Caenorhabditis elegans: one gene and its partners. The protein of the gene in region 4 interacts with the protein of the main gene of each other region in a pairwise test. Each region holds a gene or a part of one and is shown on either strand. Other genes may lie near its edges. The genes, in order: F08D12.4, tyr-4, chtb-1 and arrd-8.

What was found.
Region 1: the proteins of arrd-8 (region 4) and F08D12.4 interact in a two-hybrid assay, tested with the Caenorhabditis elegans proteins (one large-scale study listed by BioGRID).
Region 2: the proteins of arrd-8 (region 4) and tyr-4 interact in a two-hybrid assay, tested with the Caenorhabditis elegans proteins (one large-scale study listed by BioGRID).
Region 3: the proteins of arrd-8 (region 4) and chtb-1 interact in a two-hybrid assay, tested with the Caenorhabditis elegans proteins (one large-scale study listed by BioGRID).

The regions. Positions count from the first base shown.
Region 1 is NC_003280.10:2,774,883-2,780,710, reverse strand, and holds F08D12.4 (CW domain-containing protein), read right to left. Parts: upstream 2,566-5,828; coding exon 2,391-2,565; intron 2,282-2,390; coding exon 2,238-2,281; intron 2,182-2,237; coding exon 2,056-2,181; intron 2,011-2,055; coding exon 1,863-2,010; intron 1,810-1,862; coding exon 1,697-1,809; intron 1,653-1,696; coding exon 1,494-1,652; intron 1,444-1,493; coding exon 1,429-1,443; downstream 1-1,428. Other genes in the region: F08D12.3 (CC domain-containing protein), read right to left, coding at 1-46, 101-205, 263-388, 433-543, 613-735, 780-890, 939-1,055, 1,108-1,156; fbxb-111 (F-box associated domain-containing protein), read left to right, coding at 5,707-5,786.
Region 2 is NC_003279.8:5,894,061-5,902,615, forward strand, and holds tyr-4 (ShKT domain-containing protein), read left to right. Parts: upstream 1-4,242; 5' UTR 4,243-4,260; coding exon 4,261-4,398; intron 4,399-4,878; coding exon 4,879-5,008; intron 5,009-5,142; coding exon 5,143-5,273; intron 5,274-5,317; coding exon 5,318-5,529; intron 5,530-5,606; coding exon 5,607-6,068; intron 6,069-6,114; coding exon 6,115-6,207; intron 6,208-6,464; coding exon 6,465-6,799; intron 6,800-7,166; coding exon 7,167-7,496; intron 7,497-7,549; coding exon 7,550-7,974; 3' UTR 7,975-8,055; downstream 8,056-8,555. Other genes in the region: pgp-2 (ABC-type xenobiotic transporter), read left to right, coding at 1-513, 754-858, 906-1,109, 1,156-1,302, 1,370-1,576; C34G6.3 (Non-histone chromosomal protein HMG-14), read left to right, coding at 2,828-3,085, 3,172-3,279; stam-1 (Signal transducing adapter molecule 1), read right to left, coding at 8,202-8,387, 8,485-8,555.
Region 3 is NC_003281.10:9,348,035-9,357,948, reverse strand, and holds chtb-1 (Chitin binding domain (ChtBD2) containing chtb-1), read left to right. Parts: upstream 1-2,603; coding exon 2,604-2,637; intron 2,638-2,981; coding exon 2,982-3,099; intron 3,100-3,146; coding exon 3,147-3,286; intron 3,287-3,549; exon of another isoform or gene 3,550-3,729; intron 3,730-4,177; coding exon 4,178-4,280; intron 4,281-4,324; coding exon 4,325-4,422; intron 4,423-4,474; coding exon 4,475-4,573; intron 4,574-4,623; coding exon 4,624-5,061; intron 5,062-5,227; coding exon 5,228-5,874; intron 5,875-5,920; coding exon 5,921-6,140; intron 6,141-6,186; coding exon 6,187-6,324; intron 6,325-6,582; coding exon 6,583-6,708; intron 6,709-6,767; coding exon 6,768-7,001; intron 7,002-7,048; coding exon 7,049-7,297; intron 7,298-7,359; coding exon 7,360-7,419; intron 7,420-7,467; coding exon 7,468-7,596; intron 7,597-7,650; coding exon 7,651-7,767; intron 7,768-7,813; coding exon 7,814-8,497; intron 8,498-8,575; coding exon 8,576-8,779; intron 8,780-8,878; coding exon 8,879-9,025; and 9 more.
Region 4 is NC_003280.10:12,061,959-12,069,255, reverse strand, and holds arrd-8 (Arrestin C-terminal-like domain-containing protein), read right to left. Parts: upstream 4,172-7,297; coding exon 3,990-4,171; intron 3,283-3,989; coding exon 3,177-3,282; intron 3,132-3,176; coding exon 2,966-3,131; intron 2,397-2,965; coding exon 2,290-2,396; intron 2,222-2,289; coding exon 1,688-2,221; 3' UTR 1,618-1,687; downstream 1-1,617. Other genes in the region: Y17G7B.22 (C2H2-type domain-containing protein), read right to left, coding at 1-94, 596-711, 1,088-1,153; arrd-7 (Arrestin C-terminal-like domain-containing protein), read left to right, coding at 6,637-6,812, 7,002-7,107, 7,159-7,297.

The DNA of each region.
Region 1 (5,828 bases), 9.3 Mb from region 4:
GCTGGTCCAACATCTTCATTTTTCTGGCAGGTAGCGGTAGAGGGATCTGGAAATTTATATTTTTAAAATTTTTTCGATTTTTCCTGGAAAGCTTCCCTACCGTACACATCCTTAGCTTCACAACAATCGCTTCCTACAACTACTTGACCCGGTGGGCAGCTTCCGAAAACTGCTGGACCAGCAGAGGACTTGCAGGCGGAAAGAACTGAAACCAAAGGAACGTGAAATAAATTCACAACTCTCCTAGTTAACCAAATCACACCTTGAATTCCGTCGAAATAGCAGCAGACGGCTTCCTTTGTTGTGGGAGAGGTACCTTCCGGGCAGGTTAAGCCGGTGCCATACGGTCCAGCTTCGTAACCCCTCTGACAAGTAGCGGTGGATGGGTCTGGAAATCATTCTCTCCAAAAGTTTCAATCTTAACTAACCTACCGTACACATCTTTAGCTTCACAACAATAATTTCCGATGAGTACTTGTCCGGATGGGCAGATTCCAAGAATTGCTGGACTAGCAGAGGACTTGCAGGCGGAAGCGGGGGCGTCTAGAATTGAGAAAAGGTATAGGTTAGGACTAAGACTGAAAAATTTCTCAGTCAGATAATAAACCTCACCTTGAATCCCTTCGTTCCAGCAGCAGACACTTCCCTTGGTAATAGAGGCCCCTTGAGGACAGGATCCTCCAGCGCCCGCCGGCCCGACAGATTTACCTTCCTGACAAGTCGCGGTGGATGAATCTGAAACAGGGATTCCCTGGAAGCTGGAATGTCAAGTGCCCTACCGTATACATCCTGAGCTTCGCAACAAATATCTCCTACGACAACTTGCCCGTCCGAGCAGTATCCCATTATAGCCGGACCAAATGCGTTTTTGCAGCTCTCAGCGGGAAGCTCTAAATAATTTTTCAATAGAAATGTTGTAATCTCAAAACCGATCCTACTGTAGACATCATCCTCCCAACAGCAGTAGTCCTGAATGACAACCTGGCCAGCAGCACAGGCACCTCCAATAGCAGGCCCAGTTGGAGATTTGCAGGTGGAAGCTGAGGAGGTTGCTCCTGAATAAGGCTTCATCCTGATTTTCACAAAAAGTTGAAGAACAATGCTCACCTGGAGCCACTGCTGAACAGAAGAAGATAGTCAGAAAGGTTCGGGACATTCTCGAAATTTAGGAGTTTTGGCTTATCCTGCTGGCATTTTAAACCATTTTTGAATTATTTTGAATTTAAAGTAGTTTGTTTAAAGGTGTGCAAACTCAAAACTGTTGATTTATGGTAATAAAGAGAGGGGAGATTTGAATATAAAACTTTTAGTTATATAATAAAATAGTTCAGCATTCAAAAATTAAATTATTTATTCAAAATAAGCTGCCAAACCAAAGTCTAATAATTCGGCATTTTTCCGCAAACAGCCAACTTGGGGAGGTACGTCCTATATAGACCGCAGCTGGAAACTTTTAATTTTTATTTGAATTGCCAAAGTTTTTACAATCTTACATACTCTGCAGTTCTCAGACTTCCATTGCTCCTACTACTCTGGTTTACCGGAACCATTAACATAACGCATGCCTGCTTTCGTGAGACCCAATTTGGCTGCCCGATATCCCATTTGTATCCGAGTTTTAAGTTGAGCGTGGTGTCACTGTACTTGACTTGCTGGAAGTCTCAAACGTCTGACGAGAACATCGGTAGGGACTTACACCTGCCACATCTTTCACTCCATCAACCCACACACCCCAGCCCAGTCGCACATTTGATGGGAATACGAACAATGTCTCGCGCATGTTTTGCTTCATTATTTGATAAGCTCGGTCTGAAACTAGTTCACTGGAAACTTAACAAAAACGGCGGCTTAAGGGGGCTTACCCGTCGCGTAAGCTCTCTCCTCATTGCTCTCCAGCCCACTTATTCTACCATCGATGAACTCCGATCCATCCCATCTGCAAGCAACATAACTGAAACTTTGATCAAACTGTAGCAAGTATCCGTCACGTTCCCTTCGATTGATGCCTAGCTGGAATATATGTATCAGAAGGTTTCGAGAACTAACATAAATTACCGTGAGACACCAATAAGTATTGTAACGTGGGAAAAGCTTCCACCCAACTTTACAGGTGGGAAATTTCACAGTAGAAGCTGGGCAGGAGGTGATAGGTTGGCTCAGGTTGGTGTTTGGCACGGATCTCTGAAAAGAAAAGGACATAAACTACGTACGTAGAAGTTCAACGGCAACATATGTACCTTCCACGTAATGTAACTAGTATTCGAATTGCCTGGTGTAATTTCTGCAACAGCTCCATATTCACAATTGAAGCACGGACCTTTTTTAGTTATCCAGTATGCTATCTTATACAAATAGGGTTACATATATGTAGTTAAAAAGTAATATCCTACCTGACACCTCATATCCTTCCCACACTGTACAATTTTGAGTTCCAATAGCTGAAACCAGCTGACAACTAGTTTTTGTGCGCACAGTTCCACGGAGCAGAGTCATTTGGATGTCTGATAGGGAGTTACGCACAATAAGCTTTATAGAGAGAATAAAACAGTACAGCAGCTTGTGCATGTTGAGGCTGGCAAAGTGAATATCCTCTCAAAAAGCTCACCAATAAAAACTAAGAAACATTAAAAAGTACGCCTGGTAAAAAGCATTAAGCCAGATTCTTTCTTCATTTCCATGGAAATAGGAATTCTTTACTTTACGATAATTTGTAGATATTTCACCAAATGTAGGATCTGTAAAATGGAATAGTTCAATTAACTTTTGATCCAGCTCTTCCAATATGTTCAATCATTTGACAAAGTCCACCAGGTTCTTAGTTTTTCAGCTCGTTCTTAACAGTTTTCACAATCTAGAATTTTAACCAGAATATATTTCAGATAATGCCATTAAGAATTTTATTGACTATTGTTAACAAATACTTTCCAAGCTATCCAATTGTAAGCAATAAATGTGAAAAGACCAGTAGCCTGAGCTGAGCCAATTTCAATAAATAGGCTTCTTTCCGCAAACGACCAGTTTGTTGTAAACAATATATACTCCGCCGCAGCTGAAAACAAAAACAACGGTTCCTTCCTAATTTAAAATATAGTGCATACTTAGAGTTTACGAGAGTTCCATTAATTTCTAAAGTTCGATCGGTCGTTACAACCAGCTGAATGCATGGTCGAGATGGTAAGTAATCCCAAAGTGGATAGTTTTTGGCCCACCTGTATCCACGTTTCAAGTTGAGTGTGGTATCCGTGTACTTGATTTTCTAAAGCTAAACATTAGCTGCTCAACGGACGAAAGAACATACTTTCCCAACATCTAACATCCCGTCAATCCATACACCCCAAAAACGCGCTACACTCCCTGATGGTGTTTTGTTCATGTTATGTGTTATTTGGAACGCCTGACCACACACCCCAGCCCAGTCGCTCACTTGATGGGAATTCGAACAATGTCTCGTTCATGTTCTGTAGCATTATTTGATAAGCTCGGTCTGAAACTTGTACATTGAAAATTTTACAAGATCAAGGGACTTAAGGAGCCTTACCCGACGCGTAAGCTCTCTCCTCATCGCTCTCCAGCCCACTTAATATACCATCTATGAACTTCGATCCATCCCATCTGCAAGCAACATAACTGGAAATTTGATCAAACTGTAATAAGTATCCGTCACGTTCCTTTCGATTGATGCCTAGCTGGAATATGGGTTGTGAGAAGGTTTCAAAAACTGAAATGATCTACCGTTAGACACAAATAAGTATCGTAGCGTGGGAACAGCTTCCACCCAACTTCACAGGTTGGAAGTGTCACTGTGGAAGCTGGGCATGAAGTGATAGGCTGGCTCAGGTCGGTGTTAGGCACGGATCTCTGTAAATGAGCATTGTTTAACATGGCCAGAAGTCTATGACCATGACTATAAGGTATCATAATCGCGGACTATCGAACTGCTTAGCTTGCTTACCTTACCTTGCGAACTTGGTAAGTGGCTAAACTTTTGCTACAATCAGTCTCTTGTAGGTTCTATGTTACAGATAAGCAGGAGCGGCAAAACTTAAGCTTTTTGGCATCCTTCAGGCCGCTACCGCTTTACCTGTTGAGCCAGTCAAAGCTTAGTAGAGCGCAACTACGAATCGTTTCACCGTTTCAGGTTGAGGCAACCAACACCTATCCTGCCTCTTACCTCCCAACCCCATCAAATCAAGCTTCTGAACGGTGCGCTACAGATTTTGACCGGTTTGGGGTTTCGACATAGACATACCTTCCAAGCTATCAAGCCACCGGAGCTCCCTCTTGCAATCTCTCTAACAGCTCCATACTCACATAGCAAACACGAACTTTCCAGTGCGCTATCTATCACAAATAACTTTACACATACATACAGTGCCGGCCAATATTCTATTCGTTTTCGGGTTTTCGGAAATTTGCTTGAGTTGTTCAAACACGTCTAACTCAAAAACTATAACAGTTTGCAAAATATTTTCAACTAACAAAATGTTGCTGCTAACTTTTTCTGCATTCACAATATTGTCAAAATCCCATCACTTTGTCACGAAAAAAGTTATAGCAGCTGACATCCGGCGGGACTGTATTTTGACTAAAATTGCTAAGTGACTCACAACTCTGAAACTAGCCGTTTTCATAAAACAAAGTTTAATAAGAAAATAATTATTACAAATTTTTCTACATTTTGCAATTTGTTGTTCTGTCACAAACTGACCAGGAAAAACTACAGAAGGTTGAACATGATGCTCAAATTTCTAAATTTTAAGTCATGCTAAATTGCTTTAAATAACAATTTTTGTAACGAAAACCCGCATAATAAACGTTTGCAACATGTTTAAATTGTTTTTTAACTCAGAATCTGATCCGAAAAAAATATTGATTGCATTATGAAAATTTTTTGTTAAATCTGACTTTCGTTATGCACGTTTAATCTTCTGTATAATTTTTCCTGGGGACTTTGTGACAGAACAACAAATTGCGAAATGTAGAAAAATTTGTAATAATTATTTTCTTATTAAACTTTGTTTTATGAAAACGGCTTTCAGAGTTGTGGGTCACTTAGCAGTTTTAGTCAAAATACAGTCCCGCCGGATGTCAGTTGCTATAACTTTTTTCGTGACAAAGTGATGGGATTTTGGCAATATTAAGAATGTAGAAAAAGTTAGCAGCCACATTTTGTTAGTTGAAAATATTTTGCAAACTGTTATAGTTTTTAAGTTATACGTGTTTGAACAACTCAAGCAAATCACAGTAAAAACAAAAACGAATAGAATATTGGCCGACACTGTATATAAAGTCTCAAAATCATGTCCTACCTGACACCGCCTATCCTTCCCGCATAGCCATGCACATGCTATCGTACCATTCGTCTCTGTCTTCACACATTCAGTCCTGTTGCTCAGAGAACCTGGGAACAGTGTCATATGGATCTGCTCCGTGCCGGATAAGGGAGGTTGCAGGCAGAATATGAGGAAATGTAACATTTTGCAAATTGGTTCAAAGAATAATAGCCAGACGTATCTGCAAAAGACTGCAGCTCCATGGATACGTCAAGGAAGTGATGTCATGCATAGAAAGGTGGTCTCATTGAACCTTATTACTTTATTCCGCCTTTCTTGTACACTCAAACCGGTCAATAAATAATAAGCGACGCGCTATCTGTATTCCAGGTGGCCCCTCTTCCCGCTGTGCTCATTTGTGCCTCCTGCTCAAATGGCTGCCTGTTTTCCCCTTCTTCGTCTCTCTAGCAAAGACCTGCGCAATGTTTTACAAAATATGGGGATTCTTAATTTGTAAGTCATTCTGTTGTCAAGCCAAGTAATGTAATGAAACCT
Region 2 (8,555 bases), on a different chromosome or scaffold from region 4:
CAATTGTTGGAAGAAGCTGGAAAAGTAGCTTCACAGGCTGTTGAACACATTCGAACAGTTCATAGTTTAAATCGTCAGGAACAATTTCATTTCACATACTGTGAATATCTTCGGGAACCATTCAATACTAATCTGAAACATGCACATACATATGGAGCTGTATTTGCATTCTCTCAATCTCTTATTTTCTTCATGTATGCTGCTGCATTCTATCTTGGAAGTATTTTTGTAAATCAACAAGCTATGCAACCAATTGATGTCTATCGAGTATTCTTTGCTATTTCATTCTGTGGACAAATGATTGGAAATACTACATCTTTTATTCCTGATGTCGTAAAAGCTCGTCTTGCTGCTTCTCTTTTGTTCTATCTTATTGAACATCCAACACCTATTGATTCTCTATCTGATAGTGGAATTGTGAAGCCGATAACTGGAAATATTTCAATCAGAAATGTATTTTTCAATTATCCAACAAGAAAGGATACCAAGGTTTTACAAGGATTCACTCTTGATGTAGGTTTTAATTTGATACCTGACTTCTATATGACAGTAGTGCAATCCTAGGGTAAAAAGCAATAAGCCTTGACTTTTAAAAACTGGATATGGATTTTTTTTGCGTTTTTGTATCGAATGTTTATGCACTTGCCCTCTGACTTTTTTACTGAAATTTTAAAAATAGGAAAAAAAAAAAAGACAATGATCCTACAATTCTTAACCCACCTGTAAAAACAAATATTAATATATTTATTTTAGATCAAAGCCGGTAAAACTGTTGCACTTGTCGGGCACTCAGGATGTGGAAAATCTACAATTATGGGACTGCTGGAGAGATTCTATAATCAAGATAAAGGAATGATTGTGAGTCAATTTTCTTTCTGATTGGTTTTAACTGCAAACAATTTTAGATGATTGATGGTGATAACATCCGTAACCTAAACATCAGTTCACTTCGCGAACAAGTATGTATTGTAAGTCAAGAGCCAACGTTGTTTGATTGCACAATTGGAGAAAATATTTGCTACGGAACAAATCGAAATGTTACATATCAAGAAATTGTTGAAGCTGCCAAAATGGCAAATATTCACAATTTCATTCTAGGATTGCCAGATGTAGGGTGATATTTTCATAAATCAGAACTCATTCTAAAAATTTCAGGGTTATGATACTCATGTCGGAGAGAAAGGAACTCAACTTTCGGGTGGTCAAAAACAAAGAATTGCCATTGCACGGGCACTTGTTCGATCTCCTTCTGTTTTACTTTTGGATGAAGCAACTAGTGCATTAGATACGGAAAGTGAAAAGGTTTGTATGAAAAATATTGAAATAGCAAATTGACTTTGAAGAATATCGTTTTATTCACTGTTTACAGATTGTACAAGAAGCATTGGACGCCGCAAAACAAGGTCGCACGTGTCTTGTCATTGCTCATCGGTTGAGCACAATTCAAAATAGTGACGTCATTGCGATCGTCAGTGAGGGTAAAATTGTGGAAAAGGGAACACATGACGAGTTGATAAGGAAGAGTGAAATATATCAGAAATTCTGTGAAACGCAGAGGATTGTCGAAAGTCAATAATTTAAATATGTATTAGATTCTCAAACACGAGTTTACAAACTAATTTGCATGGAGTTTCATTTTTTTAATGTTCAATTGAAACAGCTTGATATTTAAAATTTAAATATGCTCATCAAGTAAAATTTTTAGAAAATTTTGTAAACCCGTAATAATTTTTTTGTCATCTAGGTACTTTGCTTTTTCCCCAAATAGCCTTTCCCTCCATCTTGTGTATTTTGTGTGAAATTCTTTGAATTGTGATAATTATCTTTGAATTGTGATAATTGTCTTTTTGTTTTCTTTTTTAAATATATTATTTACCATTTTCACTGCATAAATATTTTTATTTGAAAAAAAACTACTCATCATTCAATATGTAGAATCTAAAATAGGATTTCTTTAGACTATTATATTTTTAATTTAACTTTTTTACTGTAGTTTCATTACACCTATTTCAATTTAAGATCAATGAAACATCCAATCTAAATTTGACGAAGATTGATAAAAGAATCTCTAGAAGATCAAAAATTGGAAATGCTGTGAAAAATTGTAAGGCTGAACAAAATACACGCTCTTTGAATTGGAGGGCATTCGAAGGAAAGTGCTACAGTGTTTGAAAATTTATTTTAAAAGCAATAATAGACCATAAAAATCGAAGGTAACATTGTTTTCATCGACGACTTCCAAACAAGTGGCAAAAAGTGAGATTTTTCCAATTTTCAAAAATTCATATAAACTTTAGAATTTTTTTTTGAATGTTATCACTATTATTTTTTATTAAGTTACAGGAGTTTGATATGAAGTCACGACGTTTTGCTAATAGTAAGAAGGCAAGTGATGAGAAAAGTGAGAAGTGCCTTTCACGACTCAACCGTATGAAATGTATTAATCGGCCCCATAGAAAATATATTTCTCTAAAAATACAATAACATTTTTAATTTAAAAATAACGTGTAACATGTGTTCTACGTGTTCTACAAAAAATATCTGATAGTCATCATCCAGAAAAAAAAATTTCCTTCATCTCAATCCACATCACAATCATTAATTGTTATTTCTGATCAGCTCTCTTCTGGTTGAAAAAGTGAGTTTACTCTTTAGAAACGTGCGATTTCAGACAGCTTGAAATTGGCTTGATGCTCTGCTTAATGTTTTGTTTCAACAAAACAATTGATTTCTTTCGGCAAATCGGAAGTCACATATTTTTGCTGCTTAACAACTGATATCAACGGACCATTTTCAGACTTTCGATTCATCGAAGTAAAACAAAGAAATGACGACTGGAAAGAGTAAAAACACGAAGAAAGACTGTGCTGACAAGAAGAAAACTTCGAAAACGAAGAAGAAGACTTCAAATTTGTCGGTTTCAAGATCCCAAACTTCTGTGGATATGAATGAGAAGGACAAGGCAAAGGAGGCAAAGGAGTTGAAAGAGAAGAAGGCAAAAGAAGAAGCCGAGAAGAAGGTTGTTGCCACACCGAAGAAAGATGCCTCGAAGGATCATGCAAAGAAGGAGGATGATCCTAATAAGGTAACAGTTACGATTTTGAAGTTGATTAGGAAAACACACTGCTAAAAATTTCTTTTGGAAAAAGTTGAGAATATGAACAATTTCAGCAAAACGAGCCAAGTGGAATGGATGTTCTTGTGAAGGAGGACGGCAAGAAGACAAAGATGGACGATGGATACGAGGATTTTGGTCCAGGAGCTGGTGCTGCTCAATGAGCAACTGTCCGAGAAACTGAATCGAAAGGGAACAATTCAATATTGTATTGTAATAAAAGTTTTTTTAAAGTTCGGTGTTTGTGGTTGCAAGTATCTGATTTTGAAGCAAGACATTACACGGGGCCACCCGCCAGGGCTGTTCAGCAACCGGGAATTGTAAGAACAAATGTTGCATTAAAAATCTGCTGGAAGGGCACGAGGAAGAGTAGTGAAAAATACTTGTGAAATATTGTTCGCCACTTGCAAAATGCATCCAAAATATTCGCTAAGTATTTTACAAACGGCATGCGCAGTCTCATTTGGTTTTCAGTTTTTTCCCAAGTGTTTCAGAAAGAGAACACCAGGTCAGTTCCTCGTCCAATTCTTTGTCATTCGGAAATTAATGACATCATCAACTTCTTATCACTATTATCAAAAGAAGAAAAAGAGATCAGCGAATTTCACAGAAAACAACGAAAAATAAAAAAGAAGAGATGAAGGTAAAAGACAAAAAACTGTTACAAAAAAATGAAAAAGGGACGGAGAATCGCCTCGTCTTCATTTTAACTTCATCAGTTTGCCCTGAATCGAACCAGTAATTTTCAAATGTTTTTTGGGTTTAGTTGTCAATTAAATTGACAAAAAATTGACTAGTTTTCTTCTTTCTGATATTATTTCGATGTTTCTCTACTTCACTAACCACCAAAAATGTTCCAATGGAATCTAGAAAATACCATCAAAATTAAAAGTTGAACAAACTTTTCAATAATTTTTTAAAAGTCTTTTCAGAACTGTTGAAATTTGAGCAATTCATTTTATTTTTATTTTTTCCCGAAAATCCTAATGATATTGTTTTTGATTTTTGATTTTATATTTTAGTTTGGGTTTGGTATATATTTGAAAATATAAAATCATACAAAAATTCCTCGTCTTCTACTTTAAATTTATGTAAGAAAAAGGTTCTCCATTTTTCTTGATTTTCAGGTTTCTACGCCTTGAACCATGAGGTTTTTGATACCCATAATCTTTACAACATTACCATTATGTTTACAAGCACAAGAAGATCCATGTGCAAGTGCTCCATCAGAAGCAGCAAAAATTATGTGCAAGCAGATTCACAGATGGGATGATGGAGCAAGGGTTAGTGTTATATTTTTGAAGTGTTTCTATTTGTTTTATTACTTTAATCAGTAAAAATGTGACCATTTGGTTGCATATTTTTATCATCCAGCTAACTCAAAGCACTGTCTTTTTGAATTTTCATTTTCAACTAATCCTGCCTGCTGAGGTTGCTTAGGTTGCCTGTTTTGTGCCTTCTGCTAGAGAACAATTCAACATATTCTTCATCTTTCTGTTGAACTTACAACAGCTAAATTAGAATTAGGCAACGTAGTTAACTTTGATACACAAAAAATATATGTCAGTTAGGCAGGTATGCAGGCAAGCATGAAGCATAAATGTACGCCTGAATACGTGCTTTCCTTATTTTTTGTTCTTTTGATACCACATTAAATTTTCTGGGCAAACAGGCGAATCATGATAATGAAATAACTACAATTGTGATGCGGTCAAGGACATGTTGGTCAGAAACAAGACGGTCAAAGATCTCAAATATTGCAGGCGGCATCAAAGAAAAAGAAAATTGCATTACCACCAGGAATGGCAAAGGGAATGGCAGCTGAGTTTGCTCCAATTGCTTCAAATATCTACCAGTGCATGGATTTACCCTGCTTGTGTTCTTATTTGAGAGGTAAAACTGGAAAATTAGAAAATGAAGAAATGCTTTAAAAATAGGTGTATTAGAAATGTATTTAAACGAAAACCGGTTGCAAGTCTATTAGAAGCTAGCGTTCCCGGGAATACACTACATATATCGATTTATAGGAACTGCGTCTGGAAACGGTTGTACTCTTCCAAATGGAAGGCCACTTCAAAAATCAGTGAGAAAAGAGTACCGTACTCTCACAGATGATGAACGAAATAGACTTCACGCAGCATTCCGTGCTCTCAAAAATGTTAGTTCAAACTTTAAAACTCTAAGTTCTACATTCAATTGCAGAATGGTGAATACGAAAGAATTGGAAGAATTCACTCACAAATGTCTGCTGCCGGAGGAGCTCATTCTGGACCAGCATTCCTTCCGTGGCATCGTGAATTTGTGAAACGTGTCGAGTTTGCTCTACGCCAAGTTGATCCAACGGTTAATCTTCCATATTGGGATTCTACGTTGGATAGTAGACTGCCACGTCCTGCAGATACTATTATGTTCAGGTAGGTTTTAAATCATTAATAGAATTTGTATAAATTTAAAGAAAATTAACGCATAATACTCACTTTTCTATTTTTAGTGACTATCTTATGGGAAGTACCGGACTTGTTAATGATGGACCCTTCACAAATTGGCGAACTTTGGCTGGAAGAGCCCAAATACTGAGAGCCGTCGGAGCACAAGGAGCTCCACTTTCACAAAATGATATTGATTTTGTAATGAGACAGACACAAATTGATCAAGTATTATCGTTTACTGCACCACAACAAGGATGCCCATATAGAACTGATTTCAATTGTCTTGAATATACTCATGGAAATGTTCACATTTTTGTTGGAGGAGATATGTTCGACACTGCAACTTCTTCAAATGATCCTTCATTTTTCCTTCATCATGCATTTATTGATTTTGTATGGGAAGAATGGAGATTGGCAAGACAATCAAGAGCTGATCGGGAAATTGCATTCCCTCCTGATAATCAATTATGTGCTTCTGCACAACATTTTGGAGCATCTCCAATGCAGCCGTTCAGTCCAATGAGGTAAAGAAACTGTGAATTGATTACAGGGAAATGTAATTATTTTCAGAAATATCGATGGTTTATCCAATAAATATACAGATAACTTGTATAGTTATGCACCACGGCCAACATGTCAAGCTGGAGGCGATTGCGGTTCTAAGTGAGACTTTTTTGAAAATTATCAGAATAACCTAGGAAATGTTACGCAAATATTTGAAAAATTACAGCTATGCTATTTTTTGGCAGGGTTTAATTTTTTTAGAATCAAAAACTTTCAAGATAAAAAATTCATGTGAAACTTGAAAGATTGTCGTACAAGATATAAGATCATTTTTGATGATACATTTTCACACACTAAAAATTTGGAATATTCTTGATGTCTACCGTGGAAGACTTACTGGAATTTGTAAATTTCAGATTCCTTTTCTGTGACACTTCCACCGGGGCCGCCCGTTGTGTATCTCGTATTCGTCCAGGATCTCAATGTGGTCAATTCCGTGTGAATCCATGTTTCTCAGGAATCTGCCAAAACGGTGTATGTGTTCTCTCATCAACAGCTCCACGTCCAACACCTGCTCCAACAACTCCAACACCTCAAAATCCAGTACAATCTCAAGAATCATGTTTCAATGAGAATCAGTGTTGTGCATCATGGGCAGCATCTGGGGAATGTTCGAGGAATACGGCTTATATGAATGAATGGTGTAAGGCCAGTTGTGGTGTTTGTAAACCCAAATATCGACTGGCTGATGGTGAGTGTATTTTGTATTTTAGGATTTTTTAATTAAAAAATATTTAAATTACCACAAGGGTTTTTTCGGTAAAATTCTTTTTAAAAAGTTTGCTATTGTAATTTGGCAATTTCAGAAAATTAAAGGTACATGGGGTTATTTGAAAGGGTCCCACCGGGAAAAAGTTTATGGTATCTTTATTAGATTTTTCCGGCGCCGTTCATGTTTAGAAAGATAAAATTGAAAAATATAAACTCTCACATAAATGAAACAAATAAAAACTGACCAAAAATAATAAAAGTTCCTCCAAGCCCCATAAAAACCAAATAAACCCATGCACCTCTAAGTTCGTGTATCGAAAAACTGCAAAATTACGATAATTTTCCAGATTGCACTGATCGTCATACCCAATGCAGTAGCTGGTCCCGCTCCGGTGAATGCACCAAAAATCAACTCTGGATGACTGAAAATTGCCGTAAAAGTTGTAATAAATGTGGTAGATCACGTGCTCAAGAGTGTGGAGGAGGTGGTACTACAGTAACCACGACGACACCTGCTCCAGCTCAACAGTGTGATAATTCTGATGGTTGTTTCAATGAGAATGTTTGCTGTGCTGTATGGGGATTAATGGGAGAATGCCGAAAAAATACAAGATATATGGCATGTAATTGTCGAGTTTCATGTGGACATTGCTATCCTGAAGATTACAATTATGGATGTAAGCTTTATTTTTAAAAAAATATTTTTATAATTAAAAAATATATATTTCAGCATGCGTCGACTACCATAGATCATGTGCCGGATGGGCTCGTGTCGGTGAATGTCAGAAAAATCCATGGATGGCTGAGAATTGTAGATCAAGCTGTAACAGTTGCTATACTCAATCAGAGCTTCGTAGAATGTGTGGAACTACAGCTGGATCAGTTGCTCCAGTTGCACAAGTTCGTCAGACTAATCCATCTCGTCAACCACCACGTGGAGGTTGGGGACGTGACGATTTCGGAGATAATGGAGGATGGGGTGGAAATGGAGGTGGTGGATGGGGAAACAATGATCCATGGGGAGGATCAAGATGGGGTGGTGGAAGAGGTGGATGGGGTGGAGGTGGATGGGGAGGCGGTGGATGGGGTAAACGATCCATTCGAGCAGCCAATGCATCAATTTCAATGCCATCTTTTGATCCGGACCTCTTGTAATTTTTGTTACCTTTTCTCAATTTATCCGATTATTTTCGTGTATAATAAATATTTGCCTCAAACTCAATAAAGAATTCATTTTTATCTTATCGAGAACTCGAGGAAGCAAAAGACTATACAGAAACGGGTGGCGAATCGAGAAAAATAAGTTAGAAGTGATCACAATATCAATGGAACTAGTTACAGATTCAAGGAGGAAAAGGTGATATTCACAACAAATCAAAAAGTTAATATTGTTGAGGCTGTGAAGACGGAGCAGGCCATTGTTGTTGCTGTTGTTGAGGTTGGGGAACAGAATTCGGTGGGCATGCGTACTGTGGTTGTGCTCCAGGAGCCGGATAGTGTTGTGGAGGATATTGTTGTGGCTGCTGTTGTTGGACAGGACCGGTAGGTGGGTAATATGCTCGGTTTGGCTGAAAAATACGATTTTTTGAATTGATAGGCATTACCGTGAAGCTTAGAATGAAAAATTTCAGTTTTCTAAATATTTTTTTCTGAATAAAAACTGACTGGTTGCTGATAGTTGTACTGTTGCATTGGTTGTTGGTACATTCCTTGACTTTGATGCTGAAATCCTCCCT
Region 3 (9,914 bases), on a different chromosome or scaffold from region 4:
AACTATTCTCTGGCATGACATGAAATTCCTGGTGTTTGCACCACGTGCAATAGTTGGTTCTTTCAAGGCAACCTACACTTTTCGGGTCCCAAGCAAAGCAGGAGGCTCGCGGTTTCAGGCAGGCGCGGCTATTGTTTTGGTGCCTGCGTTAACATAGTTTCTAGCAACGCACTTTGAAGCTGGAACATAAGTTTAATATCTTGGTCGGCTTTTACTTTGAATAAAAGTTGTCAACCGATAAAATCTCTGTTGTCTATAAGTCTCTATAAGTTTCTAATCATAAAGTTTCAAGGTTTGTTCAGAAAAATCGGAAATTGATATTATGTAGATATTATCTTTTGATTTCAAAGTAACATGTTTTAGGGAAATACCACTTTGTAAACATAACATGAACATACTTATCACTCGACCGCCTGGCCGAGCCTGGTATCCGCCGCGGTTTTTTTTGTCAAATTCGGGGTCCCGTCTTGTCGTGAGATGAAGGAGACACAACCCGCCGCCGCCCTTGTGATCTTTTTCCTACGAACACAAACCCAAATTCCTCAACACTATTTCTCTCCCACCACCAGCAGCACCAAAATCTGATAAAAAATGACAAGTTTTGTCGTAGAGACTCCGCGAGGACAACAAACAGTGGCACGAGCAATCTCTTTCGTGATATAGTGTTGCAAAAAGATGCGCTTGACAGCTTGTCTACGCCATGATGTTTTTTTTTGCTTCCGTGTCTTTTCTAGGTGCGAAAAAAGAACAAAAAAGAAGACAAGTCTCTCCGGATTCGGAAGATGGTTTTGAATGAAAAGTGAGATTTCATTCAATTACATATGAATATGGCCAGTTACGCAAGGAACGAACTGGATGCCATCGAGAAATTAAATGGTCTTGTACTTTTGCAAAAAGAGACCGGTAAAGAAATTAGCAATGATATGCATGGAAATTATTTTCCATTTCTTTTTAATGTACGCTGGAAGTTTTAAAAACAACATTATCTTATTATCAGTTGAGCGAAAAACGCTAAAACATAAGTTACCGAATTTGCATTAACTCAATTGAATTTTTACAGTTACTTATCAAAAGCGGCTTAAATTTTTGGCTTCATCAATAGCACGGAAATTTCAAAATCGGAATGCGCTGCCAACGGATAATCCAAAAACAAAAATCGTTGTGAAGCAGTAATAGATTCAAATTAAAAGGCTTGAAATTAAAAAAAACTGAGAATAAATTTTCACAGTCCATAATATATTAGCTGCCCTGTCCAGTTCAAATTGCCTGACCAACATCGCATCGTATTTGACTAGAGGTGTCTCACTAATTGCGTGCATTGCGCACTTAGAATAATGGAGTTTTGAATTACACGAGATCTTACAAAAATGCGCGTTGTTTTTTATGTCCGGGAATTTGGATTTGGAGGGTCTCAATTTCACTTAAAAGTGGCAATGACTACAAGTGGCAGAACAGTTAAATTACAATGACTCGGTCGAATCGAAACCGAATGTGCACTTTGCAACAGTATACGAGTCGCGGTGGGCGCTTGGTGCTCGATTTTTGTTGGAAATGTGTGCATCGCGCGTCCTTCAATGTTATGGAAATATGCAGTAGTTCCGGAAAACATCATATCATTTTGAAACATTAGCTACATATTATTCGATACATGGATGGTGGATGTTTTAAGTCTTCAAAACTATATGTTTTCAAGAACAGATGTCAAGACTACTGTAGACTACTGTACTGTACTGTAAGACTACTGTAGGTCAATCACTTCCATCATAATCATAAAATTCTTGTGAAATCAACTATAAAATTACGCCACCCTCATCATCACTTCCGATTATTTGTCCTCTTTCATCCGTGCCCGGAATTCGTCCGCGCTGGTCAAGTTGAACTCGTCGACTCTTTTCTTGCCAAGAAGTTGCTCAACCCCCAAAAAACTTGATCCAGTGTTTCCTGGCGGCGGTTTTACCTCATCTGAGACGCCTTAGTGTTGCTCCCCCAAATAACCCTAAAAAAGGAAACAATAGTACTTTTTCGCAAGAGAGACCGCGACCTCGCGCGCGCCTTCTATTCTCGTGCTCATAAGCGCCGAGCTTCTATTTTCGGCCGACTTGATGTAGAAAGAGACAGAGAAAGAGTACTGACCTCTCTCCGTCTTCGCCACCTTCTCAAGCGTCGTGTGCGAATCTCCGCACCGGTACAGTATACGCGGAGAGGAGAAGAGACGAAAGATAGAAACGAAGAAGACGGAGAGGGCGGCGCGTTTCGCATACAAACCTCCCCAACCCCTCGGAAGCTTCCTATCCTCTAGCTCTCACCCTACCTGCTTCATTCGTTCTCTACCTCACCATCGGAGAGAAGACACATTTCACATCTTAACCCCCACCCACAATACCATTATTTTCAAATTCCGTCTTCTTGTTGCTCCGTTGTCTCCTCCCCTTATCTCCCACCCCATCACAGCCTTTTATCACTTTATCAGTGTTCAAATTTTCCAGCGTGGCAATTGTTGTCGAGTCCACCAAAAGAAGAAGAAGAAGATAGCAGCTTTGTTTTCCATCTGAATCGACCACCTTCTTCCATTTATCATATAATCACAAAGCAGTATACACATAATGCTGCGCAATCTCATTTTAATCACCCTCCTCGGTAAGCTTTCTTTCAAATTTTATATAATACATTCTAGATTCTGTTTATTTTTGAAAAATGTTAGCTCTAAAATTAAATACTCTCTCTTGAAAATCTATATTTTTCCATATATTTTCAGAGGCAAAAAAGTTTCTGAATAGTCTAAATTTGATCTTGAATTTAAATGGGTTTATACATAAAACTTATCAAACTTATTCCATCTTATAGTTTACTATTCAACTACTAGATTGCAAGAATTTGTCTGAAAATCTAGGCCTGAAATATCACTGTATTTTGAGAATTTAAATAATAATAATTTCCCATTCATTTTTCTTATCATTTCTCAAACCAATTTTAATTTACAGTCGCTTCTGGACATGGACAGACGCCTGTAATTGGCGGAACGTGTAAACTTGGAACTGCTGATGTTCAAATTGGAGGAAAACAGACACAGTTTTTCCTCAAGTGCGAGACGACAGCTGAGTGAGTTTCATTCAACCAAAACAACTGAAAATCTTTCATTCTTTTAGTAGTGCCGAAGGTGAAGGTGTCTGGGTTGTGAAGTCGAGAGCCGCCGCCGCTCCTTCATCAGTACCATCTGTTCCAGCTGAAAATACACAGCCACAACAACATCCAAAAGCTCGTAAACCAGCTTCCCCGAACATTTGTGGTGAGTTTCTTAGACTTCTTATTCTTCTTCATCACCAACATTTATTCCTCTATTTTAAATCGGTGGAAGCTCTTAAGTCAACTAATGAGCGAGCCCACTTCTGACCGCAAATAAACATCAACCACAGTGGTCAACAATAAGTTGAAATGAACTGTTACGAGCGATAAGGTATCTAGGAAATTGTAGAAGAAAGAAAAGTAGAAAAAAGTGGAAGTCCGACATCTCCAAGCCATATTTGCTTATGCTTCTGACAGTGTTTCTTGTGTATTTGTGTGTTTACATTTAATTCTTTTCCTTTTCCTCTCACTCAATTCAATTCATTCCAAAAAATAAAACACACACATACAAACACACAAACATCACAAATAGTGTGTAGATATTTTGCCAACGAATTCCAAAACTAGATTCACTACATTTCTTGTGACCAAATTTCATCATCTTTTCGAGGAAATTCGAGGAAAATGCGCCACTTTTGTCTGGGATCCTTTGTTTCACAATTCCATTATTTGACCACTCTAATGAACGCAAATGACCTAAATCCTCTTGATGGGAATGAAGAAAAAAACGCAACTTGCGGTGTCTTGCAATTCCTGCTTGCTCCGCCGGCTTTTGTCCACCACTCACTTGCGCACAGTGCGTTGAGAGTCGCCGGCGCGTGACCAAGAGGGGGTTCAACAAATAGGTCAGAAGGTTGATAAGAGAGTGTTGGAGGAAGGGATACGCAGCTCGCAGAGCTCACCAGTCGCCGCCGCGACCTACCGAGGAAAAGTGTTTTGTTTTTAAGAACCCCAGCGAGAAAAGACAGAAGGGATAACTTAATGAGATCGGGGATTTGGTTTAAAACTGAAATTTCATCTTATTATTCTAAATCGATCAATAAAATATTTTCAGAACAAGACAATGGAGCCCGCGAGAGCGAGGTCTGTGCCGTTTCAGCCACCTGTCTTCAGGCTCATAACGACTTCCCATCTTCCTACCTTCAATGTGACCAAACGTAGGAAACCGTTGCATAATAAAAAACAAAATGTTCAATTCCAGCACTCTCCGATGGGTCCGCAAGTCGTGCCAAGAGAACTTCTTGTTCAACTTTGAGCAACAAACTTGTATCGTTCCAAAGAGAATGAGCTCTCTCTCCCGTAAGTTGTTTTTATGATTAACCACATATTATTTCACTAATTGCTTAAACAGCATCAACATCTTCCCCATCTAACACTGAAAATCCCTGCTCGAAATGCCCACTGGGATCAGCTTGCCGCAATGGTAACTGTATCCCTTTAACAACTTCAAGTAGGTTCTAATCACACTTTTCCCGCCTATGATCTCTAACTTTCCATTAGATTTGTGTTCTGATGGTTCTCCTCCTAATAATACATGTACTCGGGATCCGTACTCTTGTCCCAAGGGACATTTTTGTACCGCACAAAAAGTGTGTTGCCCTTCAACTGCATTGCAATCATCAATTGGATGTTCGACGGTCTGCACAATCGATGAATCGTGTCCAAAAGGAATGACATGCCAGAATAACTGCTGTGAAGAAAGAAAACTACTACGACATCCAAAAGTATATCGATATGCAACTGTAGAGGCAACAAATACAATATTTGAAGTGGATAATGATATTTTTGATAGTGCTGCAATCGAATCACTCCCAACTCAAAAACCGCAGCGACTAGATGAAATTATGGCTCCAGGAATCACACCAACTCCGACAAGAACCACTGAACCTCCAAAACTTCGATGTTTGAGTAGTAACACGGACGAGGTCAATTCATTAGGTGCGTTCACTTTTCTTCCTTCCTTTTCTCATCTGTTTGTGGTCACTTTAAAGTATTTCGGAAAGAGCGCTCTCCGTTTCCACCACTGTTTACAAAGTAAATAGGAGCCTAATGAGAAGCACGCGCATTAGCTAACCACCTCATTTCATCAACTGTACTTTTATAGGCGGAGCATCATCATCATCTGCAACATGTGGAGGAACAAATGCGAATTGTACTTCTGATGAAGATTGTCCAACAACCTTCAAATGTTATCAAGGTTGTTGTAAATTGGCTGTATGTCCGAGAAGTCTAACAGCCGTCAAATTCACATGTAAAACTCAATATCACTGTAGAGCAAATGAACATTGCTTTTTTGGAGGATGCTGCCCAAAAACTATCGAATTAGCTGTGATAAAATCACAAGTTTTGACAATGAGCAAAGACAACGAGCACACCAAAGAGACAGAAAAACTGATAATTGGAGACTGTGAAGTGGATACCAGAGTTAAAAAATGTGATATCGATATTATATGCCCAGAGATGTCAGAATGTGTAGATGGAATATGCTGTAAGCAACCACCAAAGGCACGATGTGGAAATGGATTGATGGCTCTTTCGATTCCAGTTCATTGTTCTCTATCAGATGATTGTCCAATTGCTTCTAGATGTGAATATGGGAAATGTTGTCCGTTCCTCTCAGAATCTGCGGATTCCACTTCCGATAGTGTCGGAGAAACCACGCCTGTAATTATAAAAGAAGAAATAATCTCAACAGCAACAAAAGTTTGGAAGAAAGTTGACAAAACCAGTGGTGTATCGATTAACAAAAATGTAAGTTTCTACTCGAGGTGGTAAAATATTCAATGTTATTTTTTAGAAATGTTTATCCACGCAAAGATGTGATTTACATACTCTGTGCCCTCCCGATTTCACTTGCTCACTGTCGGGCAAATGCTGCAAACTGAACATTCATTGCCCAGACGGGACGGTTCCTGAAACTTCATGTCAGTCTGCTAGTAATCATGATCACTGCCCATCATCATCTCACAAATGTACTTTACTCAATAAGGAACATTTTGCATGCTGTTATAGTCCTGGTAAGAAACATGGCATCCCAAACTTAATTGAACTAATGATTTCCAGGACTTGTCGTCGAAGGAAGTGTAACAGCTGAGGTTTCCTCAGAATGCCCCATAGGATCTGTTGAAGTTGATCCAAGATTCGGAACTTCCTGCCGATACAGTTTGCAGTGTCCATCTCCCTATTTCTGTAATCAACGGGGTAGATGCTGTCAATTAGCTAATACCTAAAAGGTGAGGTTCAAAGAAAATGAACTTAATTCAAACTTTATGTATTTCAGATCCAGATACAATGCTTCAATCCCAATCTCTTTGACAAACACGTGTACACCGACATATTCAATTAAATAACATAACTAACCACATTAAACCTTCGCATGAATACTTACTTCTAACATTCTTCATTATGAAAATCCATACTCCAATAATCTCAATTTACATTTGTAATATTTATGTACAGGTCAACAAGCCAGCGGACTCGTGTGCACATTCTCTAGCTGCTCCAACTCCAACCCATGCTCCGTCGGAACTTGCAACAACGGATACTGTTGCTCCAGTGGATCCAACTCTGGCTCAGCTATTATTGGTAAGTATTTTCAATCATTTTTGATCACTTCCCACAACCAGCACACTTCCATAATTCAGATTCTGACACCAACAGCACAACTAACCCGTCACAACCAGAAACCACAAAAACCAAAAATAATACGAAAAAGTCTAACTCTAGTAAAAAGCACAGAAAACCCAAAAAGAAAGACGTGGATCCCCTCTCTGATCCACTTCTTCAAAATGATTTTCCAATCGGACCTCCTGGCTATGGGTTCCCTGAACATTTATCCAACTTGGATGAAGTTCTGATAAGAGCTCAAGGAGATGGTGGTGAGCACCTTCTAACATCACTTGCACCTTCCAGATGTCTTTTACAGTTTCTTGTGCCGGAGGTTTCCAGTCTTCCTTGATCTGCTCTGTTGGTTCAGAATGTCCAGCTGGATTGCACTGTGATACCGCTATTAACCTCTGCTGTCCGCTTTTACTACCACTCACTGATCCTAAGAACCCAAAAAAGAGAAAAACGAAGAGAAGAAAGCAAAAACAAGATGAAAATGAGATGGAAGCTTCAGCAAACTTCCCAGATTCAGATCCTGCACGATTTTCGTCTTACTCATGTGGATGCAGTAATAAAACATTTTTCTAACAAATTGTATGTACAGTCAGATATTTATATTTAACTTTTCAGTGGGCGGAGGATCCAGCAACTGCGTCGGATGCCAGAATGCCCCACAAATCATCACTATCCGTGAGTACTCTGAAAATTTGAACGCTGAACTTATTTCTGATATTTCAGCACAAAACTCATGCCCAGGAGGTGGATACTCTGTCGGAGGATGCAGCTCTGGATATTGTGCCACTGGATACAGTTGCATCCAAAACCAATGCTGCCCATCATACAACTCTGCTCCAAGAATCTCTGTCTGTAAGTTTTATAGTTTATCGATATAGGTATTTATTCAAATGAATCTTATTCTAGACACCTGCCCATCTGGAGGAAACGCTGTTGGAGCCTGCATGTCTGGAAGATGCGCTAGTGGATACACCTGTAGCAACAACGTTTGCTGCCCACAGACCACCACCACTAACCCATTCGGTAATTTTTAATGTAGACTTTACATTCTAATCTTCGAACTTTCCAGTCTGCCCTGATGGAACCCAAGCTGCTGGAGGATGTGTGAACGGACAATGCGGAACTGGATACACTTGCTCCAATGGACTTTGCTGCGCCGGAACATCAACCACTGTCAAATGTCTTGACGGATCTGACGCCGTCGGAGCTTGCATTCCATCATGCACCGGAGATGGATGCGGAGGAGTTCAAGTCTCATACTATTGCGGATCTGGATACACTTGCACCACCGGAAACATTTGCTGCCCCATCAACAGTTGTCCAAATGGAGGAGAAGTTCTCGGCCCAACCATCAATGGACTTTGCCCAACTGGATACACCGTTCAAGGAAACCTTTGCTGCTCTGCCACCTGTACTGATGGATCAACTGGTCTTCCCTCTGTCAACGGAGTTTGTATCGACGGATACTCCCTTACCAACGGAGTCTGCTGCCCAGCAAGTGTCACCTGTACCGATGAGATTTCCATTGGCCCATGCACAGGAACTGGATTCAACGGAGGATGCCCAGCCGGATACGCTTGCGATTCCAACCAAGTTAACTGCTGCCCAGTTGTCAGATATACTGATGAGTCATGCCAAGTCGGACCAGCTATTGATGGACTCTGCCCACCAGGATACGTCGTTGTCTACATTCCAAACAGTCCACTCATCACCAACGGCGTCAATCCAGGAACTTGTATCGATCTTCAGTGTAGTAAGTTATTCAATCAAAATTATATGAACAGTTTTGAACATTATATGATTTCACCTTCATTAATTATGAAAACTTTAGCCACCGGACTTTGCCTCACTGCTAATCAAATCGGAGACTGCGACACAGCAACAGACGCCGGAACCTGCCCAACTGGATACACTTGCTTCACGAACGCCGGAATCTGTTGTTCTACCACTACTTTCAGCCGTCTTCGTATTGGTAACTCTCGACAAATGGCTCAAAAGCCAAACTATGGACGTCCACTTCACAGTTATATGCCTCGTAAGTATGCCTTGTTTTTCTGATCAACGTGTGGCGTGAATTTCTTACTTTGAAAAAAATCTCCCTGGTATCCTCCCTTTTCCACCTCTTCTTCTTCAGCTCGCTTCGGCGGACCATCCTCTTCGTGCTCTGATGGTTCACTCTCATCCGGTCCGTGCATGAACGGTCTTTGTGGAATTGGACTCGAGTGTCAGAATGGCAAATGTTGCTCTCCATCATCGAACAAGCCAGCCGGACTTCTTCAAAGTACTAGTTTGCATGCATCTTCCCCACTGAATCTTTCTCATCTTCCCCTTTACAGGCAAATGTCCATCCGGTGACACCGCCGTCTCCGGATGCTTCCCAAATGGATCATGTGGAACTGGATATGAATGTGTTTCTTCATTAAATCTCTGCTGTCCACCAGGTCAACCACAGACATTCCCATCATTCCCGGGTAACAACAATGGTTTCAACATCAACAACAACAATCGATTCGGATCATTGTCGATGTGTAAGTTTCGTGAAATTTAAAAAATCACGAAGACACATCATCTTCTCTTATAGCGCCGCGACCCATCGGCGCCCGTTGTCAGCTTGACGGCGAGTGCGTCGGACAAGCCGAGGGGCTTTCAATGTGCCACGCTGGAGTTTGCCAGTGCTCTCCGATCGCCTACACGCAAGGAATCGCATGCGTTAGACGAAAGTGTAAGGAATCGCATGTTGAATTCTATCCAGCTCGTCAACTGGCAAATCTGTCCCCTTTTGCATGCTCTATATAGACTTCTAGTCCTTAACAAGCCGATCCATAGCTTCACCATTTTCCTATTTGCCTAGAAGCTTAGACTTATAGACTTCCAGAATCCCATCTAGAGTCTCTGAGCACGCTTGAAATATTTAAAATGTTCTTGCCTTAATTCAATTCTTTTAGCTTTCCAAATGAACGACGACCCAGTGATCGACGCCGCCAACGACGACAAGTCAAGCAGCAGCGTAAGCGTGTGAAGCCTGAAGAGCTGAAGCGTGCATTACAACGTCTCTGCGCTTTGTATTACTTTTCTAGCTCATAATTGTTTTACTTTCCTTTTTTCCAAATATTTATTATCAAACGCTCAATTTCTCTTTTTTTTCAAATTGATTCTAAGTCTTTCCTATC
Region 4 (7,297 bases):
AATGTTTCTGTTGAAATGGGTTAGTTGTTCGTGATTCGATAAATCCGATTCAGCGTGAAAGGCACTCATACATTTTTGACAAGCAAACAGCAACCTGCAAAAAATTTGGCAATACAATTTTGATCAAAATTATTTATACTGTCGCAAAAAAATTTAGTAAGATGGCACAAAATTGAGTTATTTTGATGCTTAAACAGACACACTACACGGAACTTATTCAGAAACCAGATTTTTGTTTAGAATTTAGTAGTTTTGGTGCACCAAAAAACATCAAAAAGTATCAAATTTTTTGGAGTTTGTTCAGCGATTACAATACGTTTTCCATTTATTTCTTTTTGAAATGATAATTCAATCGAAGCTTGAATTTTCGCTTACTACTTTTTTTTGCTTTAGGTAGAAAAACATTACTCCTAGTAGTAGGTAGGCCTAATATGGTTAATATGTTTGGAGCAGGTCTACAACACAAATACCAACTTGACAAATGCCGAAAATACAAATTCTCGGCAAAAAGGCAACGGCTACAGTTCTGGCAAATTGTAATTTCGCTATTTTTTCTGGCAGCTTCCAAAAGAAATTGCCAGAAACTCTGACTCACTCATTATCTTCATTCCATTCTACATTGAGTTTCCTGACTCCTTCTGTTACTTCTCCGACTTCTATGTCAATTGTTTTCAATCTTTCAGGTCCATTATTAGTTTCATAATTACCAGTCTGAAGTTGAAAAAATTATCATTATTTTTAGCCTAGTTTTTATACCCACAAAGTTAAGTGTTTCTTGCACCGGGAATAAGTATTCTTGAAAAACTAAATAAAGAAATTCTTTCTTCAAAAGCTAAATATGTTAACCTCATTTCCATTTTCCGAAATAGTCTATTTGTTGGATTTGTATTATTATGTTTTGCTAAGCCATACCAAAAAAACTATACAAGGCACGTACGAAATACTCCAAAAAAATTAATTTAAAATATAATCCTTCAAAGGAATTTTTTTTACTTCTTGGAATATTTACTCATGCCCGTTTCTAAAACGTTACACACGCCAGATAATTTTTCTCGTCTTTTGTAATATTTAACCTCAAAAAACTTACCCGAAGTAATTCTTGAAGCTCAGCAATTTTCTTCTCAATTTCGTCTTTAGTCAACTTTGATGACATCATTCTAAAGAAATTAATTCAATCCCCAACAGAAGGCAACAGATTTTTTAAAGTTAAATTTCTCAAAAAGGACATCTGAAAAGTTGTTTCAAATTAGTCTTAATAAGAAGCGTGCAGCTAATGCTTTTCAAAAAAATTTATAATACAGTTGCATTAAAATTTGGATTTGTCTGAAAGTATTCGAAACAAAATTGTTTTATACAAGTTATCACTTAGGACAAATAAAATGCTTTTTTTTTATTCTAAAATTGGAAATACTGAGCACTCAAATTCAAATTCATTCATTGCATTAAACGTTTCAAAACGGAAAATACATTACTATGAAATACTTAAAGCAATCGATGAACTACGGGAGACGTTGTGCGAGAAGCGGATGTACGCAGAGACATAGAGAACAAAAGAATGCACATGCACATCTGCTCACTTAGCAGTCATGAAGCAAATCCGCCGGCACTACACTGATGTAATTAAACCGGCAAATTAAAAATTTAATTTACTGAAAATGAGAATTCGATATACACACACGAAAAAATGTTAAAAATGTTCTTCATTTTCATATTCCGGCGGTGGAGCACTTGCCTGAGAATCTTCTACAATTTGACTGAAGTTTTCATATTTAGGAGGAGCTTCCGTAATAGAATAGGCAATTGGTCTTGTGAATACTCCAATGGGAATTGTTCCAACAGTAATCGGAAGTTCACATCTCAATTTCTTATTCTCTCCGATATCCACAATAATACAATAGTCTACTTCAATAATTCCTGTTCGAAAACTAGGAACCAACTGATTCGGCAGAACAAGTGGCACATTTATTTGGCTATTTGAGCAAAATTCCACGTGACAACTCTTCTCAACTTTCGACATTGTGGTTTGAGCAGTTTTATGCTCACAATGTTTATGACAATGTTCTTCTGGAAATAGATGAGAATTCTCTTGTTGAGCCTGATAATGCACGTGCTGCTCCAATTTTGCTTTTATAGAATATATAGGCTTCTTCGTGTGATTTTGAATTAGAGCAGATACTTGGATGGTCTCTCCTGGGATGTATCCGGATTTTGGGATGGAGATCTGTAAATATTAATTTGTTAATTGAGTCATTATTTGTTATTAGCATGAAATAAAAAAAATTATGTTACCTTAACTTTAACCTCTTTGTTAGAAAATAATCCAGAATGCTTGCAAGAAGATACGATCATTGGATTGATTGTTTTTGGAATGGAGTTTAAATCGATAACCGGAATCACTGAAATATTCGAAATTAAATTTTAAATGTGATTTGCTTTTATAGATAAATTGCTAATGATTTCAAGCTTCAGTTTAGCCCAGACGGGGTTAAAATCAGGGCTCAGCGGCAAACGATTTTTCCGGCAAAATTAGCGAATTGGCAATTACCGAAATTGAAAATTTCCGGCAAATATAGCAAATTGACAATTTGCCCAATTTGCCGGAAAATCTGTATTTGCCGATAGTTGTGAGTTTTTCTGGAACTTTCAGAATTTCAGTTTTAAACGAAAAAATTGTACACATCCGATGAATAGCCTTACATCTATTTTTAAAAGTCAGTGAATTCTATGAGAATATCGTTAAAAAACGGGGGAAAATTTCAAAAAGGCACAGTTTCAAGTTTCCGTCTTCTCCGGCAAATTGTTATCCGGCAAACGGCAGATCGGCAATTGGCCGAAATTTAAAATTTCCGGCAAAAAAAGACAATTTGCGGATTTGCGAGATATTATATTTTGACACAAAAAATATTCACATTAAATCATGATTTCTTTTCTTTTTCAGGTCGTATCAAAATCGTTTCCAACTCACCAGAAAACACCCTCTTCGCTTCAACATTCATCCTCCATGGCCTATCTAATTCCACGTGTACCGAATATCGAACATTTCCATGCGTCCCTTCAAAACTCGGTGGTAGATTTGCAGGAAGTTGGAAGAGAAACGGAAATATGTTCACACCGCCAGGGATTTTATTGTTCTAAATGTGGTGTGTAAATATTAAAGTGTATTCAAATTTACTAACCGCGTTTTCAATGGAACTCCATGGCTGGGCGATTCCTTCCAAGACGTTTATCTTGCTAGTATAGTTGATATGTTCAGAGCTACGATACCATCGACCATGTCGGTCACTGAAAAGAAATATGGTGGTTAAAATCAGGGGAGCGCGGCAAATTTCAAAAAACTGGTTCAGCCGAATTCGCCGCGCTCGGCAAATTTTGAAATTTGCCGCACACATCACAAATAGGCTTTTTTTTCAAATTTGGCCAAAACTGTTGATTTTGTTCAAAAAATTATAGTAAAATAACATGAAGTTGAGTTCAAAGTTGTGCTAAAAATTCAGTAGTTTTGGCGCTTCTAGAAATATCAAAATGTTCTCATTTTTCGGAGTTTGCCCAGCACGGCAAGATTGCCCAATTTGCCCAATTAGCCAAGCTCGGCAAATTTTGAATGTACCTTTAAATAGTGGATAATCTGATTACTGTTTTGGAAAGGAGAGAGATGAATATCTGGCGGAAGTATTTAAATTTTGTATGTACCATAAAACGAGCGGCAATAATAATTTCATATATTTTTTAACGAAGCTTCTATTGGCGATTTTAGTTGTATTTTCATGTCATCAGAACTTATAAATTAGTAAGTAATCTTCCTCTACGTCACTTTCATTTCAGAACCTTACATATTGGCTCACTTCAAATGCCTAACCCCAAATTGAGAAATTCAGATTTTTCTGGAAAAACAACTCTGGCCGAAAACTTGAATTTTCTGAGAAATTTTTTTACTGAAACTCGTTTTTCTTGACTATTTTTTGAAATTTTAAATAGTCCCCAAAACTCACTATCTCCCTTTATTCTCAAATTTCCTCCACAACGTTTCAATATCTCCATGGATGCAAATTTTCAGAGCCAGTGCATTTAAAGCATTTCGATTTCTGATTGTTAGCTTCCCTGCTACATTCTGTCCAGGGGAGTATACAGCGGCAGGATGGTCGAATTCAATGAGAAATGTGGTGTCTCCCATTTTTTGTAAGTCTGACATGAAATTATACTATATTACAGCTTTACATCCAATATTTTTCTTTACAATTAGTTGATATAAATAAGTTCCGAATAAAAACTAGAAAAAAAATCTTAAAAAAGAAACAACTCAGTTCATTCCATTCTCTTATCAACTAATAACTTTTATTTATAAAACATGCACCATGTTTACGTCATGTTTTCTTGCCGGAAAATTGATAAAGTCTGAAAACGTGCAAAAACGTCATAGACAACGTACTTCATTGGTCTTTTTTTTCTTTTCAGTGCAAACTTTGAGCATGAATCAGAACAATATACTATTTATGGGTTATTTGTGTATTTATACTTTATGCGATGACGTGGTTCTTCACAAGTTTTTAATGTTAACATGGTTATTAAATATAAATCGGTGTGCTTTTTTTAAAAATTCGCTATGAATTGGAATTTATCGATTATATATTATTAAAGTTATTAAAGATAGTGTATTGTTAACGGGGTTTTGATTTAAGATACCCTGAAAAATCTAATTTTGGCTAAAATTTTGATATTCCATTTTTATTTTGAATTCGCTCCAAATTCAGAAGGCAAAATATATTTTAAAAAACTAACCAAAAAATTTACAGTCAATAGTTTTTTTGTTTAAATTGCTTTGGTTATGTTCGTGCAAAAAAAAAGTGTCCTGACTATAAAAATAGCAAATTTTCCGTACTTTCAAATGAATGTATGACCGTCTTTGTAGCTACGAAATTCATTTCAAAAAACCCGAAAAATGTTTTTTTTCAATTCCACCACCATAAAAAAAAGTTTGGAAATTATATTAGGTTCGCTATGTTTAATTGTGAGTAGAAAAAAAGTTTCCTGACTTGAAATATAGCAAATTTTTTTCTCTTTGAGAAAAATGATTTGTCGCGTTTAAACGCGACAAAACATAGTTCATAGTTGGCCAAAATGTTTTTTTGTAAGCTTAATAAATTCCTCTAATTATTTGAAACAGTTCCTACAAAACCGTTTTCATTTATTTTATATTTTAGAGCAAAAAAGTACGGCATATAACTTCTAGCTGGAGATTTAGGAGAAATTCAAATAGGAATTTTAGGAAAAAATTAAAAGCCTCCTTCCTCAAATTTTTTTTCAAATTTTTAGTTATTTTTGTTACTCAATTTCAACTCTAACTTCAAGATATTCTTCAAAATATGAGTTTTAAATTTTTATTTAGTTCTGGATTTTTTATGATTTTTTTTTCATTTTTCAAAGAAGAAAATGTATTGCATTCTAAATATTTTTACAGGAAAATTGAAAATTTTTCGCCGATTGCCATGTTACGTATTGGATTTTTTGTCGTTTTTTTCCAATTAAAAAAAAATAATTTTAGAGAAAAAAAAAACGAAAAATCAAAAGAGAATCAACTATGTGTAATTTTTTGACAAACTTTGCAAAAGTTTAGAAAAATTCTATAATTATTTTAACAATCTTAATTATAATAATAAATCATATTAATAATAATAAATTTTAACAATTTAACGGTCAATTTTTTAAATTTTAGAACAAAATTCCCCGAATCCGTTGATAAATTTCTTAAAATAAATTGAAAAATTAAATTCCTACATTTTGATCTATTCCATCCCATTTTACTACTTGTTTTTATGATTTTGGTCTCTAACACATTAAATACCATCCCAACATACAATATTTGTTCTTCCCCCCTCCTAGGTCTCTCAAAACAAATACTATCTAGGTGTCCAAAATGCATGCACATTTTGGAAAATTTCGCAAACCTAGTGACGGAATTTTCACCGTTTTTTGTTAGTCACCAAATAAGCTGGCTCTACTGATAAGTGCTATCATTGAATTTAATGTATTCTTGAGAGCAGTTTCATAATTATTTCAGTGTGCTGGAAACAACTTTTTGATTGTGATTTTATATTTCAGAATCGATATGATTTTCTGTTGATTTTTTTGTAATTTTTAATGTTTAAAGTTAGATTATTACGTCGAAAACATAAGCTTTGAAAAATTCCAGAAAAATTGGTATTATAAACTTTTGTTCAGGAGTTTTTAGCCAAAAATAATTAAATGTTTTCGCTACGAATTTTCAGTCTAAACTTACTAGTAAAGTTCTTCCAAAAACATTTTCAGCCAAAATTTTATAGCAAAGAATAATTCAGTCAAACCAGAAAATATTATTCTATACAAAATGCGCTATAAATATTTTCCACCTAGAAAATTTAATCAAAAATTTACAGACCAAAAATATTGCGATAAGCATTTTTATGCCAGGTTTCCAAGCCAATTTATTCAGTTTGATCTTGCTAGGCGAAAATTCAAAAAAAATTTTTAGCCCTCTAAAAACTTCAAAATGTTCAGCTTGAAAATTTCAGTCAAAATTATAATTTTGAAATTCTACGCATTTTTAAAAAATTCTCATACTATTAATTATGTCAGCTAATAATAATTAGAATATTACCAGAAATGGACGACTTGCGAATTGAGTACGACGCTCCGAACGATGTATACTTCCCAGGACAGGCTGTCACCGGAAAAGTAATCATACAGAATCGTGAATGGATCAAAGCGAGGTTTCTGAAAATTTGCATTCACGGAGGTGCACATACGCATTGGAGTGAAAGTCGCAGCACATATAGGACGTGAGTTTTATTTTTTGAATTTCTGATTTCAGCACTTTTTACTTGCTTCCCTTAATAGTCGTTTACCTAAAGACCATAATTCAATAAATAGTCACTAATCGGAAAAATACGATAGCTTGTCTTTTTTTTACTAGACTGCTTACCTGTAAAATAAACCCTTTGAACATCAAAAAACAAAATGCCTTTCAGAAACACACGTGGAGAAAGGGAACGATTCACGGAGAATGTGAACTATAACGCGACTATCAACTATTTGACCGGAGAATCGATTGCATGGCAGTCGAGAGATGGAACTGTGAGTTATTGGTTAAGCTGTCTTCACGCTTTCAACAAACTCTTGTTTCAGGACCGTCTTCCAGCTGGCACCAATGTCTTCCCATTTGCTTTTAACCTCCCCATCAATTGTGCGCCAAGTTTTGAAGGCTGTCACGGACATATTCGATACGATGTCCACGTGGAATTAGACAGACCATGGAAGTTTAATA